Linked DNA regions of Daphnia pulex. The protein of the gene in region 2 interacts with the protein of the main gene of each other region in a pairwise test. Links are inferred from orthologs where the notes say so. Each region holds a gene or a part of one and is shown on either strand. Other genes may lie near its edges.

The links.
Region 1: the proteins of peripheral plasma membrane protein CASK-like (region 2) and protein lin-7 homolog C-like interact in a two-hybrid assay, tested with the Caenorhabditis elegans proteins (5 studies listed by BioGRID). The link is inferred for Daphnia pulex from reciprocal best matches to the Caenorhabditis elegans genes lin-2 and lin-7.
Region 3: the proteins of peripheral plasma membrane protein CASK-like (region 2) and ubiquilin-1-like interact in a two-hybrid assay, tested with the Caenorhabditis elegans proteins (2 studies listed by BioGRID). The link is inferred for Daphnia pulex from reciprocal best matches to the Caenorhabditis elegans genes lin-2 and ubql-1.

Annotation. Positions count from the first base shown.
Region 1 is NC_060028.1:9,841,525-9,847,646, reverse strand, and holds protein lin-7 homolog C-like, read right to left. Parts: upstream 3,211-6,122; 5' UTR 3,062-3,210; coding exon 3,019-3,061; intron 2,943-3,018; coding exon 2,901-2,942; intron 2,838-2,900; coding exon 2,589-2,837; intron 2,497-2,588; coding exon 2,387-2,496; intron 2,325-2,386; coding exon 2,169-2,324; 3' UTR 1,809-2,168; downstream 1-1,808. Other genes in the region: T-complex protein 1 subunit zeta-like, read left to right, coding at 23-233, 295-472, 539-698, 761-940, 999-1,146, 1,212-1,521, 1,581-1,650.
Region 2 is NC_060018.1:1,086,257-1,091,615, reverse strand, and holds part of peripheral plasma membrane protein CASK-like, read right to left. Parts: intron 4,653-5,359; coding exon 4,623-4,652; intron 3,573-4,622; coding exon 3,474-3,572; intron 3,344-3,473; coding exon 3,199-3,343; intron 2,613-3,198; coding exon 2,493-2,612; intron 2,414-2,492; coding exon 2,303-2,413; intron 2,220-2,302; coding exon 2,112-2,219; intron 2,030-2,111; coding exon 1,854-2,029; intron 1,785-1,853; coding exon 1,605-1,784; 3' UTR 1-1,604. UniProt on the Caenorhabditis elegans protein: May play a structural role in the induction of the vulva. May be required for the localization of signal transduction molecules (such as let-23 receptor) to either the basal membrane domain or the cell junctions.
Region 3 is NC_060019.1:8,123,873-8,130,515, reverse strand, and holds ubiquilin-1-like, read right to left. Parts: upstream 4,130-6,643; 5' UTR 3,966-4,129; coding exon 3,867-3,965; intron 3,766-3,866; coding exon 3,480-3,765; intron 3,413-3,479; coding exon 3,222-3,412; intron 3,160-3,221; coding exon 2,980-3,159; intron 2,915-2,979; coding exon 2,757-2,914; intron 2,694-2,756; coding exon 2,428-2,693; intron 2,352-2,427; coding exon 2,180-2,351; intron 2,108-2,179; coding exon 1,966-2,107; intron 1,897-1,965; coding exon 1,758-1,896; intron 1,697-1,757; coding exon 1,626-1,696; 3' UTR 1,260-1,625; downstream 1-1,259. Other genes in the region: cytoplasmic dynein 1 intermediate chain-like, read left to right, coding at 1-113, 176-336, 408-548, 608-733, 817-1,062; zinc transporter ZIP1-like, read right to left, coding at 4,445-4,851, 4,927-5,165, 5,229-5,453, 5,526-5,653. UniProt on the Caenorhabditis elegans protein: May play a role in the ER-associated protein degradation pathway (ERAD) possibly via its interaction with ER-localized proteins ubxn-4 and cdc-48.1 and/or cdc48.2, providing a link between the polyubiquitinated ERAD substrates and the proteasome.

The DNA.
Region 1 (6,122 bases), on a different chromosome or scaffold from region 2:
AATTAATCTTAATGAATTTTAGGGCCTTCACCCCAGAATTTTAACTGAGGGTTTTGAACTAGCAAAAGTCAAAGCTTTGGAAGTTTTGGAGTCTGCCAAGATCCCAGTTGAAGCCAAAAGAGAGATTCTACTTCAAGTTGCCCGAACTTCTCTGAGGACAAAAGTCCATCAGGTGTTGGCTGATTTACTTACAGAGGCATGTGTAGATGCTGTATTGGCCATTAAGGAAGATGGTACTTAAATAACAAGAACATGAGTTTATGTATGTGTACTTATGTAGCATTTAACATTTAGATAAACCTATTGATCTGCATATGGTTGAAATCATGGAGATGCAGCACAAAACGGAAATGGACACCCAGCTTATCCGTGGTATCGTTATGGATCATGGTTCCCGTCATCCTGATATGCCCAAACGTGTCGATAATGCTTATATCCTCACTTGCAACGTCTCAATGGAATATGAGAAAAGGTACTCTTTTTCTATTTTGACATTATTTAGACTGGATAATAATTATGTTATCTTCTGCTAACATAGTGAGGTTAACTCAGGCTTTTTCTACAAGACTGCTGATGAGCGTGAAAAACTCGTTAAAGCTGAAAGGCAGTTCATCGAGAGCCGCGTTCAGAAAGTTGTTGATTTGAAGAAGAAGCTTTGCGATGGCACTGACAAGACTTTTGTACTTATCAACCAAAAGGTATAATCTATATGCTAGCTGGATCGACTGGGATGTATCTAATTTTTCTATTTGAATGTCAGGGTATCGATCCTTTGTCTCTGGATATGTTGGCTAAAGAAGGCATCATTGCTCTTCGCCGAGCCAAACGCCGTAACATGGAGCGATTGACTCTGGCCTGTGGTGGTATTGCCATGAATTCATTTGATGATCTTTCCGAATCATGTCTTGGATATGCCGGTGCCGTCTACGAGCATGTTTTGGTAATTACACATTTTCTGTTTCTTGATATAACGACATAATCTGATGGTTCTTTCACAGGGCGAGGATAAGTATACATTTGTTGAAGATTGTCGTAACCCCAGGAGTGTTACGATTCTGATCAAAGGCCCAAACAAATATACTTTAACTCAGACAAAGGATGCAATTAGGGATGGACTTCGTGCAGTTGTCAACGCACTAGAAGATAGTAAGTCAAAATTTGAATCAACACATTTAAAAGATGGTAATATCATTTGATAATCGATATACTAGCTTTCGTCGTTCCCGGTGCTGGAGCTGTTGAAATTGCAACTCATAAGGTCTTGGTTGCATACAAGGAGCAAGTCAAGGGTCGCGCCCGTCTTGGTGTTCAAGCATATGCTGATGCCATGCTGGTCATTCCGAAAGTGTTGGCACAAAACGCTGGATTTGACCCTCAAGACTCTATTGTCAAAATGCAACAAGAGTTTGTTGAAGGTGGACCCCTTATTGGTCTTGATCTACAATCGGGCGAGCCGATGATTCCAGCAGATTTAGGAATCTATGATAACTATCGTGTTAAGAAACAGATTCTCCATTCTTGGTAAGTTTCAAAATTATTGTTGATGTTACCAACTTATTTATTTATTTTTATTTTTTTAGCACGGTCATCGCTAGCAATCTGCTTTTGGTAGATGAGATTATGCGTGCTGGTTTGTCCTCATTGAAGTAAATGGCCGTGCCTCAAGGTCCACCGAGTTCCTGAGCAGCAATGGATGACTTTTTTCTAATCAATCTGCTTGAATTCTAATTTCGTTCCGGCTTACCATTTTCGTCCGCTTGAGAAACTAATGTTATTACAATTTGCTAATCACTACTAAAACAGCATTGTTTGATTCCGAAGTTATATTCATTTCAACAAATAAGTCTACAGATCAGTTAACATCAGGTTTTAGCTTAGTTAATGGTTTCATTTAAGAAAAGGTTGCTACTATTTCTTCCATTTTGCAACTTGTGTTCAAAATAAGCAAAAAAACAATTGCAAGGACGAATGAAGGTTTCTCTACATTCATGAGTGATAACGTGTAACCGTCTTTGTCATAGAATTTAACTATGAAATATTTAGCTACACAATATTGAATATTTTTGTAACAGTCAGGATGGGGAATTGGTTACACTATTGATAATACGAGGAGTCAAAATTTGCGATGGGGACGATGATGCTCCTAATTGAGATTTGTTAAAGTGAACTTAGTACGGTTGTCTTCGGCGCGTGGTCCTTTGTTTATCAAAGCGCATTTCCATTTCTTCCAATATTTTTGGTGTGTAACGCACAACTAGTTTCACTGAACCGTGAGCAGCTTTCAGGAGTTCCACAGCTTTCTCGTGATTTTCACCCTCTACCGACTAAAAAAAAAATTAACAGTCAGAGAAAACTTAAATGGAAGAAGTAAGTTTATCAATTTTACCACTCCATTAACAGAGAGCAATTGGTCACCACGCTTTAGACCACCATGTCTGTCTGCAACACCTCCAGGAATGATTCTTGATATGTAAATTGGTGAATTTTGTTCCCTTCCTACAAACATTCATTTGGTAATTATAAAAATTAATTTTCACCATTGCATTCTCAAGGAAAGGATATGCATAAAAATGTATTTATTTTGTTACCTCCCATGACATTGAATCCAAGACCTTCATCAGTTTTGGGGAGTTCTACGACTCGAGGATGGGCATGGCCTTCACTAGCAGCAAAAGCTGCAATTGTAGCTTTGGCTGTGGCAGAAGCTCGGACATCAGGTGATCCTCCCATTTCTACTGTCTCATAAACATGTTCGTAAACTTCTCTGACAGCTCTTAGAAAGTCACTCTGCAGCACCTTGTGAAGAGCAGACAGTTTTGCCGTTGGAACTTCTCCACCTAGTTTTGATTAGAAATTATTATGACCTAGTGCTCTTGATAACTGATATTTTAAAGATTTACTTTTCATCAACTTCTCCAGCAATTCCACAGCTCGGTTTATATCTAGAAGATAAATTTTAAGGGATTAATAAGAGCGTTCCACGACAGCTAGTTGCCTTCAGAAGTAAATGCCGTTTACCTTTGTCGAGAGACAATTGTTCACTTATAGTAGTAGCTGCCATAGTTTATATCAAGAAGTAGAGGTTTGCAATGAGAAAAACTTCAATAAATGTCAAAACTGGGTTAAAAAATGGAAGAATTTTCAGGGCAAAACACACGAACTTTCTGTCAATACATAGGCTCCGCCCTAAAACTGATTTGTCCGGCGATGGATCTGTTCTCCAACGCCCTCTTTAATTACAAAAAGTGTTATATCATAGTTTAAACCTGAAATGTACCGATATATTTTCGAATATTCAACGAGAAATTTTTAATTGTCTAATGTTTAAAAAAAACTGTATTTAAAAATTTCAGGTTAAATAGTAGCTGTATTTGCCGTACCCCGTAATGCTCGGCCAGCCAGAAGCGGTTTCCTCTAGACTAGAAGGTAATCAATAGCATGTGCCATACCCTCTCCAATCCCTCTCCCCGCACCCTTATACCAAGTTCCGCTTACATCTGACTATTCCAAAAGTAGCATCACTTTGTTAGGGTGCTGATGACAGTCCCCCAGATTTATCGAATCGTTTTTCTTTTTCTGCTTTAGCATAAACTTGTTGTCGCTTATTTAACAGTAGAAAACTGATGGAATAGTCAGGCATTGGTACCAGGGTCTTTTGACGTTTCTATTAGGATTTAAACTACTATTGCAATTAAGTATTTTAAAAAATTTCAATGATATACCGATTACGTATTCAGAATGAAAGGATGATACAGAAACATGTCTAAGCACAAGGTCAAAATGAAGAAAACAAATGTGTTTGGGTGTGTCAGTAGGAGTCAGATTGCTAATGTTTTGAAATAGAGTTGTAGTCTGATTTTCATGGAAGTCGATTTAAACTAATCAATTTTTGTCTGATGTGTAGTACTCATCCTCACAAGAGGGGAAGTGGTGGAGGAGGAATTGGCCTAGATTTTTGGTGATGAAATGAGGTCCGAATATCCATTACCCTGTTTCATGTTTTTGAATGTCAAAGTAACGCAACAACTCCAGATTTGCGAATTTTGTTTACGCTTTAATAGGTCAAATGTTGAATTATGACCTAGATGTCTGCCGCATTTGATAGGAGAACACAAGTATCGAAGAGCGGATGAGTGCGTTCGGGACAGAGGACGACGAAAAACAAAACATAAAAAAAAAAGTATTCAGACAAGTTGCCGAGAGATTGATATGGTAATTCACTTGAAAGACGACGGCTGAGTCAACAAATGCTGTGAGCGTCGCGCCGCCCGCTCTTTGGCCGCCCGCCGGGATAGACGAAGAACGCGCCTAGTGCGGACAGGACAGGAGGTACAAATAGCAGTCGGTGTCGATATTAGCTGGCATCGTGTTCTCTTGAACGAGCGAGGTTTAGTCAAGAAAAAGTTACTACACTTAATCTTAACAGTTCTTATCCAGACTATTCATCATCATGAAATCAACCAAAGTTATCACGCTGTTGCTGATTGCATCTTTCGCCATGGTAACGTCAATTACTTTGATTTTTTTCAATTTTCTTAATTTACAGGAATCTCCATATTTCTTTGTGGTTAAAAATAGCAAAAGCTAGGCCCAAGTATATTCATTTCCTTTCGTCATTTGGAATTCAGTCTTGTGTCATTCTGCTTATAAAATGCAACCTATTCTTTGTGTCGTGTCATTTAAAATTTAAAAAATCCTAACCGCATTTATTTCAAAATAGCTGGCTCTGTTTGATATTACCGCCGACGCTGCAGCATCTGAACAACGTCCGCAACGTCGTCGTCGGCCATTCCAGGCCGAAGTAGATGCTGACGGCAACGCAATTGCGTCACCAGCTACTCCTCGATTTCCTTTTTTAAATCAACGAAGGTCAGTTTCTTTTAATATCATTGATGACATCTGCTATTTTAATAAAATATTTACGTTGTATTTATCAGAGCAAATGGCAAGGTCAACCAAGCTGCTGCCTCAGGAACCGGCATTAATACTAAATCATTGCAGTCTGATATTTCGGAGAGCTGTAAATCAGAGCCCGGCTGCGAGTGGAGTTGTCCTGAAGACGTTAACGAATGCATGTAATTACTATTTTTTTTTAATTTTACACATTTTTAATCAATGCACTACAAAAATTCAAAACTTTATTATATTTTTAAAAGATGCCGCTGCAAATTCGATCCGGCCAATATTCGCGTCTCACGGGAGTTGAAACCATCTCCACGTTAATCAACAAACAAATTTTTCCTTTTTATTGGTCGCTTGATATTATTCTCCCTCTCCCCTCATAACCCCTTGTGCTTTCTAATTTTGTTGTCTGCCGATAGATTATTGCCGTTTATATTTACTCATCGGGCCCTTCATATAAGCTACCCTCTAACTTATTTCTTGTTTTAATATAAAAACAAAATGGATGATATATAACTACGATTAACAATAATAATGAAATAAAGAAACTACGACATTAGAATTTTTCTTTCTCTCCAGACGCTTTTGAGGTCGTTACTGTATGGTATGCGTGTGATGGCGTACCCTAGCGTTATCAAACCAAAACTAAATTCGAATTTTGATGAAGTGGGGGATGAACCTAATGAATCATTACAGGTCATTGTGTTTTCTTTTTCCCAAGTAAAATGCTATTAATAGAAGCATAAGTTGGCAATTTGTAAAAAAAAAAAGAAAAACACCCATTCCACGCATGCCCGTACGTACCCTTAAAAATGCGCCTAAAATGACCGTTACACAAAAACAAAAAATAAAAAATAAAATAAAAATGGGGTAGGGGATTCAAAATATCCAACGGCAAAGACGGCTCAATAGGCCAATGGAGAGAGGCTATCCCTTGCGCCGGCGGCAAGAGTTTTTATTTTCGTGCGCAACCTCCGCATGGGTGTTGGCTTTACTGTGTATTCCCTGTTCTCGTACTAGCTTCCTGATGCTGCTTTGTGAGCCCCATAGACCAAGCACCCAAGCTCCTTTGTGATAACGTTCTTGAAAAAGTTTTCGACCGCCACTTTGGTTAAATTTGATCGTCTGGCTTGTCTTGTACGTTATTTATCTTCGCGAAAGTCAGTAAGTACTGTTTAATAACATTTCAATTTGTTTTTGCTATCCAAATACGTGAATAT
Region 2 (5,359 bases):
CACTTAAAGAATAATCCTGCAACTTCCATTCCCTCAACTTTCAAATTTTCTCAACAGATTGATTTGATTACAACAACTGCATCATTTTTAAAAATTGTCGCACGAACGTTCATAAAAAAACAGCTTTTTTTCCCCCATGCGTCTTCTTACTTTTGGCAATAGAGGGAACATGGGGAAAGGGGAAACCGGGATTTTTTCGGGGGAGTTGAGACATGCGCAGTGTCGACGACACAATGTCCGCCTCTCATTCTCTTGTAAACTGTAAAGATAGATCCTATTGATTCAACATTGAAAATGACATTTACATCTGGATTTTTTCGTGCACAAGATTGAAAAAGGAAACGAAAAAAAAAAGTCGGTAAGAGGGGGGAAGAGAGATGGAACGGTGAAAGATGTTGCTAACACTTTCAGTAATAATACAGCTGTCTGGCAGATCCAACCAATTTCGATCATATTGCTCAGATACTTCAGATTCCGGTAAAAGATTCCGAGTATGGTGGAAATGAACCGCGCATAGGAAACTGAACTATGTGCGTGTCATCATCCACACCATATTCCATCAACCAAGTGGGACCGCGATTCAAGAAGGAAGACAGGGCTCGGGGGTTTTTAATGTTAAAGGATAACAGAAACATTAACAGTGTCTTATCTATCTTATATTAGCTCCTAGCTACAAAAAAAAATGAAATCCTGTGATTGAAAAAAAGCACAGGCTTTGTGATTCTATCAAAAACGACCCGTCTTATGTTTTGTCATTTGCTATCGTCGTCTTCGTGACTCACGCTGCTGGAAGATGCCAAGTTTCCGTTTTTTTCGAGGGAAATGAAGCTGTCAATCGACCAGTACATCGCATGGCAGTCAATTTTTAAAACCCAAACAATTACTTACACATGGAAGAAATTCTAACGCGTATCAGATTTGAAGATTTGAGAGAGAAGGGGGGCAACCCCACCCAGACCGGTCGATGCGAGAAGGGATTCACAAAGCGAATTGATTTTTGTTTGGGCGGGAGGGGGGATTGGGTGACGTGGAAAAGTGTAACCAGCAAATGGGAATCAATGAGCTGCACCGGCTAGAGATTGTGTAAATGGTCGGGAGTGAAGAGGGCAGGGGAGGTGTTCAACGTAATCGCTACAGCCGGTCGCCAGAAACTTGTTCTAAAAAGTTTTGAATTGCTATCGCATCCTGTTAAGCAGAAGAGTAACTTAGGAGGCCAAGGTTACAAAAACCTTTTTCTTTTCCTTTTTCGTCGAATAACGAGACAAATCTTGAAACTTTGCGCCGATTTGTTCATCGGTGAACAGGCGAAAAACAACGAAGCATTAAAAACCATTTCCTTCTTTCTCTCTCTCTCTCTCTCTCTACCGCATTTTGCCCGCCAGCAGACTTAACCTCCTAAAAAACTTTCAAATAAACCCTCGCTTTTATCCGGAATTTCCTCACTTTGAGCTGCTGATCAACTTTTTAACGTGTTGCGCTAAGATCTAGAAGGAATAGAAGATCCATTGTGATTTGATAAGGTTGGATGAAACAAGAGTGGGAAACGAAAAAGAAAGATATGGAGGAGAAATAAGAATATAAAGTTGCTAGATTACATCTGTACATTAGTAAATCCAGGACACGGGTATCCACTGTGCACTGCTCGGCAACGTCTCCATGGTCTGCTCCAGAACTCTTATGGTTTCTTCAATGTCGTTGTTCACGATAGTCAGGTCAAAGTAGTGTCCGTACGAAGATTTCAACAGTGCAGATTCTTTGATCAATCGCTCCAGACTTCCGTCGTACTGCAAAAGTGGCAACAAAAAAACAGTCAATTACGCGATCCAACAAGTTGAAGAGAAACACATTCTTACGTCATTGATATTTTGAACGGAAGGCGCGGCTATAAACACGACAAACGGCGAATACTCGGCGGTGCGCAGCACTTTGAGAGCTTGGGGTTCAACGTCCAAGATAGCCACCTTTCCGTCGGCGTGTATCCTTCGTATCGTTTCCAATTTTGTACCGTACATGGCGTCTTCGTGGGTTCCTGATGATGGGAAAAAACAGGGAAACGAAAAACTCGAGTCAACTCTCTCGGGCGAAACACACCAATTTTTTTTTTTTCGTACCGTATTCCAAGTATTCGTTGGCAGCAATGTCAGCCATCATCTCGTCATGCGAGACGAAAAAATAATTTTTCCCATTTTCCTCTTCTTTCCGTGGCAGTCTCGTCGTATCTGGACAACATAAAACAAAAACAAAACATGAAAAATCCAGACATTCGAACCAGAGATCGTGATTGGACGACGATGACACTTACGAGGGATCGGGTAGGCATAATTGTCGGGATGGTTGGCTATCATGGTGTTCTTGATATGCCGCCTACCTACGCCGTGGGCCCCCAACAAAACCAGCGTTCTTCGGTGATAGGCTGCAAGAAGAGAAGACGATTATAGACTACACCGTTTTCATGGGTCGTGTTCATAAAAGATTGGCGAGTTGATACATACACTGCAACTTGACGACTTCTTCGTATGTCACGACGTCCATTTGATCAAAGACTGTATTGTGTTTGGCCATATACTTGTCCTTGTACTGTTTCTTCTTCTTGGGAAAAAACGAGCAGTTGACTGCAATGAGAAATAAAAAAGACCCGGGTGGGGGGTCCATGTTTGATCAGTACCCGGCACACAACGTACAGAGTCTAACGGCTCAATACGCCATCTGGCTCGTCTTAACAATAAGAGAGTCATATTGACGAGGAAATCCAAACAATATCGGATGAAGAGTCGGGAGTCTGCATTTGTATTAAAGACACGCAGAAAGGGTCTGAGTCGAGAGAGAGAGAGAGCGAGTGGGAGAGCGAGGAGGTAAAAGCCAATAAAACAAAAGAGGGGGCCAGCTCAGGAAATTGTGTTTGCTGTGTGAGAGCCACTAGTAAGACTTTGCTTCCGGAAGCTGGACGCGTACGACTGCGTCATTGATTCGTTGTAAAAAAAGAACCTCCGCTGAGCCTTAATAGACTTACACAACGAAAGTTGGAGAGCAATACAAGTCCGAGCTGGTGCATTTTTTAAGATGGAAAAGTTTCTTGTCTGGAAGCGTGGGCAACAAGTCTGACAACTAGAGTTAAGTTTCATCCTGCTGTTCACTCGCTTCGTTATTATTCGAAAGGAAAAATCCTAGTCAAATGAATAATTGTTTGCGGGTTTTTACCTTGTTCTCGTTTGCTCTTTTCCACTGTCGAACAGGCGATTCGCCACTCTTGCAACTCGGGAGAAGGGACCAATCCAGCGGGTGCCAACTCTCCGGCACCGTCCTTCCTGGCTTGCCACCATCGGTTGTCGTCCTTGCTAATAATCTGCATTGTTTAAGAAGAGAACAAGTCGAGTCATGAATATCGAATGCCGCAGTCGGGTGAGATAATGAATACAAAGGAAATGCAATTGCTCATGTCTCTTGTGTCACTCAAAAATTGATATTGTACAAACCTGCAGGATGTCACCCGTCTTGAAAGCAATGCCAGCTTGAGCACAGGGGATAGTGTCGTCTCCCAGCGGGTCGTAATCGAATTGGGCTCGGACGTAGATCTGCGATGTTTTCGGAAATCGAGCCGTTGCGGAACAAATAAAGAAAGAACGAGACCCGCATTACAAAAGAATGATGAAAAACCGTCACACCGGCTAGTTTATTGAACATTCCAAAGCTAACAGTAGAAAAGGATAAAAAGAAACTTAGAAATGGCCTTTTTTTAAGAAGTAGATATGCAGCGTCGGGGAGAAAAAAATGAATGAAAATTTGAAATTTTTTAAAAAAGGAGATTGGACCAGTAAAAAATTCTAAAACAAAAAACAAGAGGAATGTATATAAAAAAGAAAGAAAATATATGCATAGTAGATATATATTTTACTTTGAAGGGGAAAAAGCAAAACAACAAATAAGAGGCGGAGAGACGTCAATAATGGCATGCATCAATCAAATTGCTACATCAAACAGAAAAGGTGGGAAAAAAGGGGGAAAAAGTCGGAGGAGAAAAAGAAGGATGCGCGAGAACCAAATCAAGTGGTTTAGTCCATTGACTACATCTTCGCCAGATTCCTTTTCCCACCAGATCCCCCTTCTTTTTCGTTTTTTGTATTTTTTTTTTTTTTTTTGTATTTGAGTACCAAAACAGATCGTGCATCAATTAAAGGAAAGGGAGAAGGAAGTGGAAAGTCGGCTCTGAAGTAATGACTCTTATTCTTTCCTTGTGTGCAAAGTAGTGGAAATGACAAGAGAGAGTGTGTATGTGTTTAATAAACACTGTTTATATAGTAGGGGAGTAGTGACAATAGTATAAATAAGAAACGAATCAACCCAATAACTTTCAACTCCAGAGCGGAGGCAATTTGGCAAAAAGAAAATGAAGAGAAGGGATTTTTTTTTTAAGTTTAAAAATAAAAGTGATGGGCAACACGGAAAAAAGAAATAAAAGGCCTTAACTATTTACTCTCCCGGTCGAAAAAAATAAAATAAAAATAATTACAAGTAAAAAAACAAATAATAATGATAATGAAAAATAATAGCAACCCCGTAGAACTTGACTTGTTAAAAAAAGGAAAAAACAGAAGACTGATCGATTATCATGAGACAGTACTTACAAGAACCGGCTGTGGATTAATCCTGAATAACTGTTGTTTGGGAAGCGGGAAATGGAACGAAATGCGAAAGATAGAGAGAAAGAAAAGACCAAAAGGGACACACAGAAAAGAGACCGGCCAAAAAATGAAACATCAATATATATATTGCCGTTCACTGATACTGTAAATAAAATATTCTTTTTCCAATCTAGACAGATAGGCAATAGAACCAAAGTGTTTCTAGTGTCATTTCTCCGCTTAAATTTTCTTACTTTATCTTTTATTTCCGTTGGATCGACGGGAATAAAAGTGAATAGGAAAATTTCATCATATTTGACGATTCCACGTGGGCATTTCTTTTTTAAAAAGTTCGACTCTGGTCCATTTTCAAGACAATCGAAAGTTGCCCATGCACAAATTGGATATCACAAGAAATATGAACCAGGAGCGGCATAAATTTGTTTTGTCTTTTTCTCTTTCCCTTTCCAAACTAAAAGGCACTATGGTACCACAATAACATACTCAAATATCACATGAAATAGTTTCATTCTCCGTTTCACTCTCTCTTGGCTTTGGAAAATGGCTTTGGAGAAAGAAAGGGCGAATCACAAAAGAGAGAGAGTTCCATAGAGAGACTCTACCTACTCTCATCGACTGTCTCATCTTAAAGAGTGGTCAAAAGGAAGGAAGATTGTGAAAGAATTTTTTTTTTAAGGGTGAAAACTGGACTGCAATAGGAAAAGAGTTGTGAAAAGAGG
Region 3 (6,643 bases), on a different chromosome or scaffold from region 2:
CTTGCAACAGCGCCAAAGTCGTGCCGTTGCCGCGACGTGCATGGCCTTCCCCCAGCCCCAATCCGACATCAACAATTTCATCGTTGGCAGCGAGGAAGGCACAATCTACTCCGGTATTTTTATTCAAATAATTCGTTGCATCCTGTCGAAGTAACACGACTATCAATCGAAATAGCTGGTCGTCACGGACCGCGTGCCGGAATTATCGATACCTACGAGGGACACCAAGGACCAATTCGTGGCATGGACTGTCACAACTCTCAAGGACCTATTGATTTTTCACACCTCTTTCTTACGTCCTCTGTCGACTGGACCGTCAAACTTTGGAGTCTCAAGGTGAGAATAGTTTTATTTTTTTATTTTTACGGATCAAGTTACTAATCCATTTCTTTTATTCGATGTTGCAGGAGAACAAACCATTGTATTCATTTGAAGACAATGGTGATTATGTCTATGACGTAGCTTGGTCTCCAATTCATCCAGCTGTGTTCGCCACAGTGGACGGCATGGGCCGTCTTGATGTTTGGAATCTTAATCAAGACACAGAGGTTGGTCTTGTGATTTTTCATACCTCTAAAATTTGGTTTTAACCTCGAATATTATTTAGGTACCAGTTACTAGTATTAATGTTGACGGCAATCCTGCCTTAAATCGTGTCAAGTGGACCCAATCTGGAATGAATCTCACTGTGGGCGATGATAATGGGCGAATTTGGGTTTATGAAGTTGGAGAGGTATGAACTTATCTTGTATATCTTTCGTACTGTTGACTTCTAATGTTTAATGTTTAACTTTTAAATGAATTGTAAATTTTCAGCAATTGGCTGTTCCAAGAGCAGACGAATGGACGCGGTTGGTTCATACACTTCAAGAGTTGCATCAAAATCAGCTGGATGAAGACATGGAAAAAATGAATTTCGGAGTAGGAAGCAGTAGCCTTGGCAGTGGACCTGCCAGTAGTAGCCTGGGAATCGGCAGCAGCATTTCGCAGTTGGCCGGAACCACTTCGCCTCCTAGCAGCTTGGGCAGCATGTCTTCCTCTTCGTCTGCTCCACTCCGCTAGCCAATTAATCCGCTTTTATTTGGGTCTTTGTACACATGTTAACCCAAGTACCTCAAGGATCCTGTTTTTGCCGACGTGCTTTCTATACCTATCTTTGTTTTTTTTTTGCTTTTGGAATGGGAATAATGCACGTGTGGGTACTTGAAATTCTATCCAAGATTAAATATTGAATTACATAAGACTTCACCAACAAAACGTTCTGATCATTTATATATTGGATGGATTCTAACATCAGATTATACAACCAAAGGAAGGGAGAAGTGATAGGCTTGGAAATGTGTCTGGAAAGACCTGGAAAAAAAAACTTAAAGGAGGGTAATAGGACAAGAGATGTTAGACAAAGAAATCAATGTTACAACCCGTCTGACTACAAGAAAAAGTACCTTGTAAACAGTCTTGAAAAGTTAGCGCTCGATATCGAAATCAACTGATCATTTTCAAGATACTCAACCGAGAAGAGTTAGAAAGGAATTACTAGGTGATAAGAAAAGAATGGCAAGAGAGTGGTAAGAAGGAAAGGTAATTATGAAAATAAAAGAACACAAAAAATCTTCAGACAACATTTAAATCATAGGGCGATTCTGCAGTAATCTTTCCACAGCAGCATTCACATCGCCAAAGGTTGCGATCAAGGCTAAAAACAAAAATAAAATTTTAAGAAACTTGTCTGTTTTGAATATTTTCTTAAAAATTACCTTGGAGGTTGGCCTCTCTGTTAATAAATCCCATAGCTGTTAATTGTTCTAACTGTGAACGGTATCTTTCTTCCGGTGGTTGGGTGGAACCACCGCCAATTCCGCTTCCAATTCCACCTTGACCTGCTAGGGAAGTTAGCTATCCGTTCGAAAAATAAATAGTTGTTTTACTGAATTTGTGTGTAAAAATCAATTATTGCGCTTCTACCATGCTTGCCATCATGTTGCTAAAAGCGTCAGATCCAGGCCGGGTAGTCGTCGGTGGAGGAGCTGTTGTCGTCGTATCCGACGCAGCGGGTGTAGTGCTTGCAGCAGGATTCAAAGGCGGAGGAAGAGAACCGAGACCAAGCCTGCAAAATCAATCGAACAAGAATTACATTTACATTCGCTGCCGATTATTATAGAATGAGAAGTTGTCATACGTAGTAGCAAACGATGGTGCGACTTGTCGGAGTTGCTCCATTCCTTGTTGAATCTGCATCATCGCCGACATAGCTTGTGGGTTTGTGACCAAATTCTGAATTTCCGGATTATTGAGCTGAGCCATGAATGTTGGTAGCATTGTCCTCATTTGTTCTTGCATAGCTGGGTTGCCTGATTGACGGTGATATTATAAAATAAATAATTGAAAAACAAAATAACACGAAATGAAACAATTAACTAAACGTACTGGCAAATAGAGGATTGTTGAGGATCATCTGTTCGGCTAGTTGTGGATTTGAACCCATTTGTTGGAACATACTTTGGACATAAGGGGCATTCATCATACTCTGCATAAGTTGCGGATTATCGACAATCTGCTGCATCAAAGACTGCATTCCTGGTGAATTAATCATGCCGGGCATGCCTGGCATGCCTGTTACACCTTGGGCAGCTGAACTGGATGGGCTTCGATTTTCACCACCAGTTCTAGTCTCAGAATTGCTTCCAGGCGACCTAAAAATATAAACGGTGTTTTGTTTCATTTACTATAATAAGCATACTTGACAATAAACAAACTGAGTCGAAGATGGTCCAGACCAGGGATTTGGTAAAGGAGCACGGTTTTCTTGTCCTGCTTGAGGATTAGCCGACCCAGCAAGAGGCCCGGCGTTATTAACCAAAGCGGCAAAAGGATTGCCACCAAACTGTTCTTGAGCAGCATTGAACATTGGCTCCTAAAGAATCAATCAACATCCATCAGTGAGCAAAGCTTCTTGAAAGATTTCCATTTCTTTAAAACCTGAATGTCGCGATACATTCGTTGAAGGGCACTGTAACCTCCTGGAATTGATTCCAAATTAGAAAGAGCCCGATCCTGACTGCGCATAAGTTCCTGCAACATGGCAGGATTCCTTGCAATTTCCATCGTTTGTCTCAACAGTTCTGGATTGTTCATTACATGATTGATTTCTGGATGACGCTGCAAAATTTCAAATTCTATTTTAGTCAGAGTTCCATACTTTTATAACACAGATTGCCTACCTCCAGCAACTGCTGCATTTGTGGGTTAGAAGTCAAAATTTGTCTCATATAGTCAGGGTTACTCATAAGTGATTGAACAAGAGGATTGTCCATCATATTGCGTAGTGTTTCAGGATTTGAAAGTATTTCCCTTTGCATATTTTGCTGCATCTCCATGAAGTTCCCTGAGCCCAATCCCATATTTGATAAACCTAAATAAACAAAAACACAATTTTATAACATAACACTTTTCAAATTTTTTTTTTTTTTTTTACAAACCTGCAAGACCACCCAATCCACCAATTCCAAAGGGAGATGAGGGACTCGGCTCTGCCGGTCTGCTAGGAGTTACAGACGGCTGTGGAATCGTGTTGGATGAAACATTGCTTGGTGATTCCTGTGTGGTTCTGATGGCATTGCCAGATTTGATGACAAGGTGTACTGTGAGTCCATCCTTCAGGTTGTGCCCTTTCAATGTCTCTTGATCTTTAAGAATTTTGCCAGCGAAGATAAGGCACACCTGTTCAGCAGTTGCCCCAAACTTTTCAGCTACAATTTCTTTCAGCTAAAATGGAAATATACATTAGAATGCAGACCAAGAATCAGGATTAAAATAGAGTTCATTAGAAAAACAAATTTGTTACATATTGTTCATTTGAGCATTACCTCTTTGATTGAGGCCTCTTCCGGTACCTCTACATCTTTCTTATCCTTCGGGGTTTTAACGGTCAATTTTATTTTTTGTGGCTCACTCGACTCAGCCATGTTTTAGAAATTCAACGAACACTCGTATGTATTCCAAAATAATTATAGAACAATACAACTTCAGATTCCAGAACTTGTTCGAAAGTTTCTGTCGTCTTCTTGATTACCACATTCGAGAGTAAGGGTAAACGCTGACGTCCGCCAGTGCGCTGCCTAGCGGTTGTCGTCCAAAGCTTTTAGTTCGAACTCCTCTTTCCCCAAGATGTTTGAAATTATGATTAGTCACCATGATTATACGCACTATTGCTTCATTATATTTATGAAAATCCAAGCTTACAGTATCAAAGTACAAATTATGTACACATTTTTATTTATGAAAGTGTTATATGATCATATTCGAAATTAACGCGCCTCATTGTTTGCAAAACAGTTTAAATGTCAAGTTTTCAATAAACACAGAAATAATGTTTTAATAGACCTTGGCATTCATATTGAGTTGAGAATGCCTCTCCAGAGATATAAAATTGGACTTTTATAAACTAAGGACATCTTGGTTTTGCAGTGTCAGGATCCAGAAAGACGATAGCACAAGACGCGGCAAAGCCGAGAATGATGAAGAGCATTTTTGGCGTTCTCAGATCATTGCTATTCAACTCGTGCGGCAGCACTTCGAAAAAGGTCACATAAAGGAACGTTCCGCAAGCCATACCTTGCAAAATACCACTCAATATTGTTGCCTCAAGAGAGTTACTAATTAACTCAACGCCCATTCCGATTCCCAAACCAATCGGAGCAGCGAGACAAAATATTAGAGTCAACTGAATTATCACTCTGGTCCGAAGATTACTCTGAACAAGATTGAGGCTAAGACCAAATGCAATTACACATTTATGGAGCACTACAGCCGCAAAAATTTGCAGAACCTCTTCTACATTTTTTTGCAATCCTGTGATGTTTTGAGAAACAAAAAAAGAGATTAGTATAACTTTATATGAAGAGAGGATTAGAAATTCAATATTACCTATTGCTAATCCCTCAAAAATGGAATGTAGAGATAGAGCCACTGATAATAAGAGAGATCGTAGAGATGAATTGGCTGAATGATGAGAATCATGGCTATGACCACTATGACTATGATGAGATGCTTCATTGATAGGCTGTCCACTTCCATAAAGAAAGGACACCTCAGGATCAGCATTTGTTGCATTTACTTCCCTTGTGGAACCTTGAAGTAAAGGTTCTCTTTCACCAATTTCTTGTCTAAAAAACAAAGTTGAAGCAATGAGTCGTTTTGCACTTAACATACTGTTGTTATCATTTTACTGTGAAGGTTCATGTTTGCAATCAAGAGATATTTGTTCCACAATTAAAACGGTGAAGAGTCCTAGAACAACTAGGAATTCGGCAAATGGAAATGAACTGTTGATTTTCAACGCAACCATGACCTCATCAATGTTGTCTTGCACTTCAGGAAACAAATCTAGTAGACAGGTCCCAAGAAAAACTCCTCCAGCAAAACAGTTCAACAAACTGATTACTCGTGAGTACCTTAAGAAAAGAGAGAAAAACGTACACGTAAACATCAATTTTTGCTTAGAAGAAAGAAAAAAAATATGCGACCTTAGTTTCCGAACAGGATCTGCGACATTTCGGATTGTATCCATTAGCTTTAATGGCAGTAAACATGATAATAGTGTAACCACAAATAACGTAGCTAGAACAATGCTTTTTGCTTTGTTAATGTCCATGGTAGATTAAAGTGAGTTCTTCTTGACATGGGAGTGAAGAAATCAGTCACAGAATTCACTGAATCATCAGTAATTACTTTATGGGTATGACTCAAGCCCAGCAGACGCCCATTGACAGCCCAGCAGTAAACAGTAAACACCATCTTACGGAGATTAACAGTAAAAAATACAAAATCGTTTAGAAATTTGCATTCCCCGGCTTTTCACGCTTTAACGAGTACGAAATGTAATGAAACTAAATTTTGAATATTTTGGTTACTAAGCAACACAAAATGGAATGTTTTGCATACAGTTCACCAAAAGAGTAGAAAAATGATCGCTCAGGCTCAGATCAGAAGCATCAAGCACGGAGCATGGTAGTCAATACGGGAATCTGCAATCAGACTATCAGAGGGACTGTAAATCATAATGTTATATGTAGGCTATAGAATTTGAATAATACAATAAAAAATAAAATAAAATTGAGAAAGACGAAACGCGGTAACAATTGTAGTTTAATGTCAATTAATTTTTATTAAATTTAACCTAATACTGTAGTACCCCAAATAATTTACCCATAGGCTAATTTACTAATCAAATAATCATCATATATTTAGAAGAGTTCACGATAATGTGAGACTAACAAATGCTATGGCCGCACTTCATTTGAAATGTTTAATAATCCGTTAAACATTTTGGTTCTTTTTTCTGCACCTTTGTTAATTCGCTGGCAAAGCCTTCACAAAAAACATTCGATATTTTCGATTTTTATTTCATATTTGTTATTGTGTTATGTAACAGTATAGTGTCTCGTCAGTACGGACAACGGATAATAAATTTCACAGGGAAGGAACCAATCATGGGAAACGTTGCGGCACGCTTACCACGGGGCGAAAGTGTTTTTTTCTTCTGCAGAGACTAAGTTGTTCTTTTTCTGAGGGGCGGTTGAGAGGAAAAGTGAAAAGAGGGCTTGAAAATTACATTCATCGAGCTTTAAGCGTATACGATTAT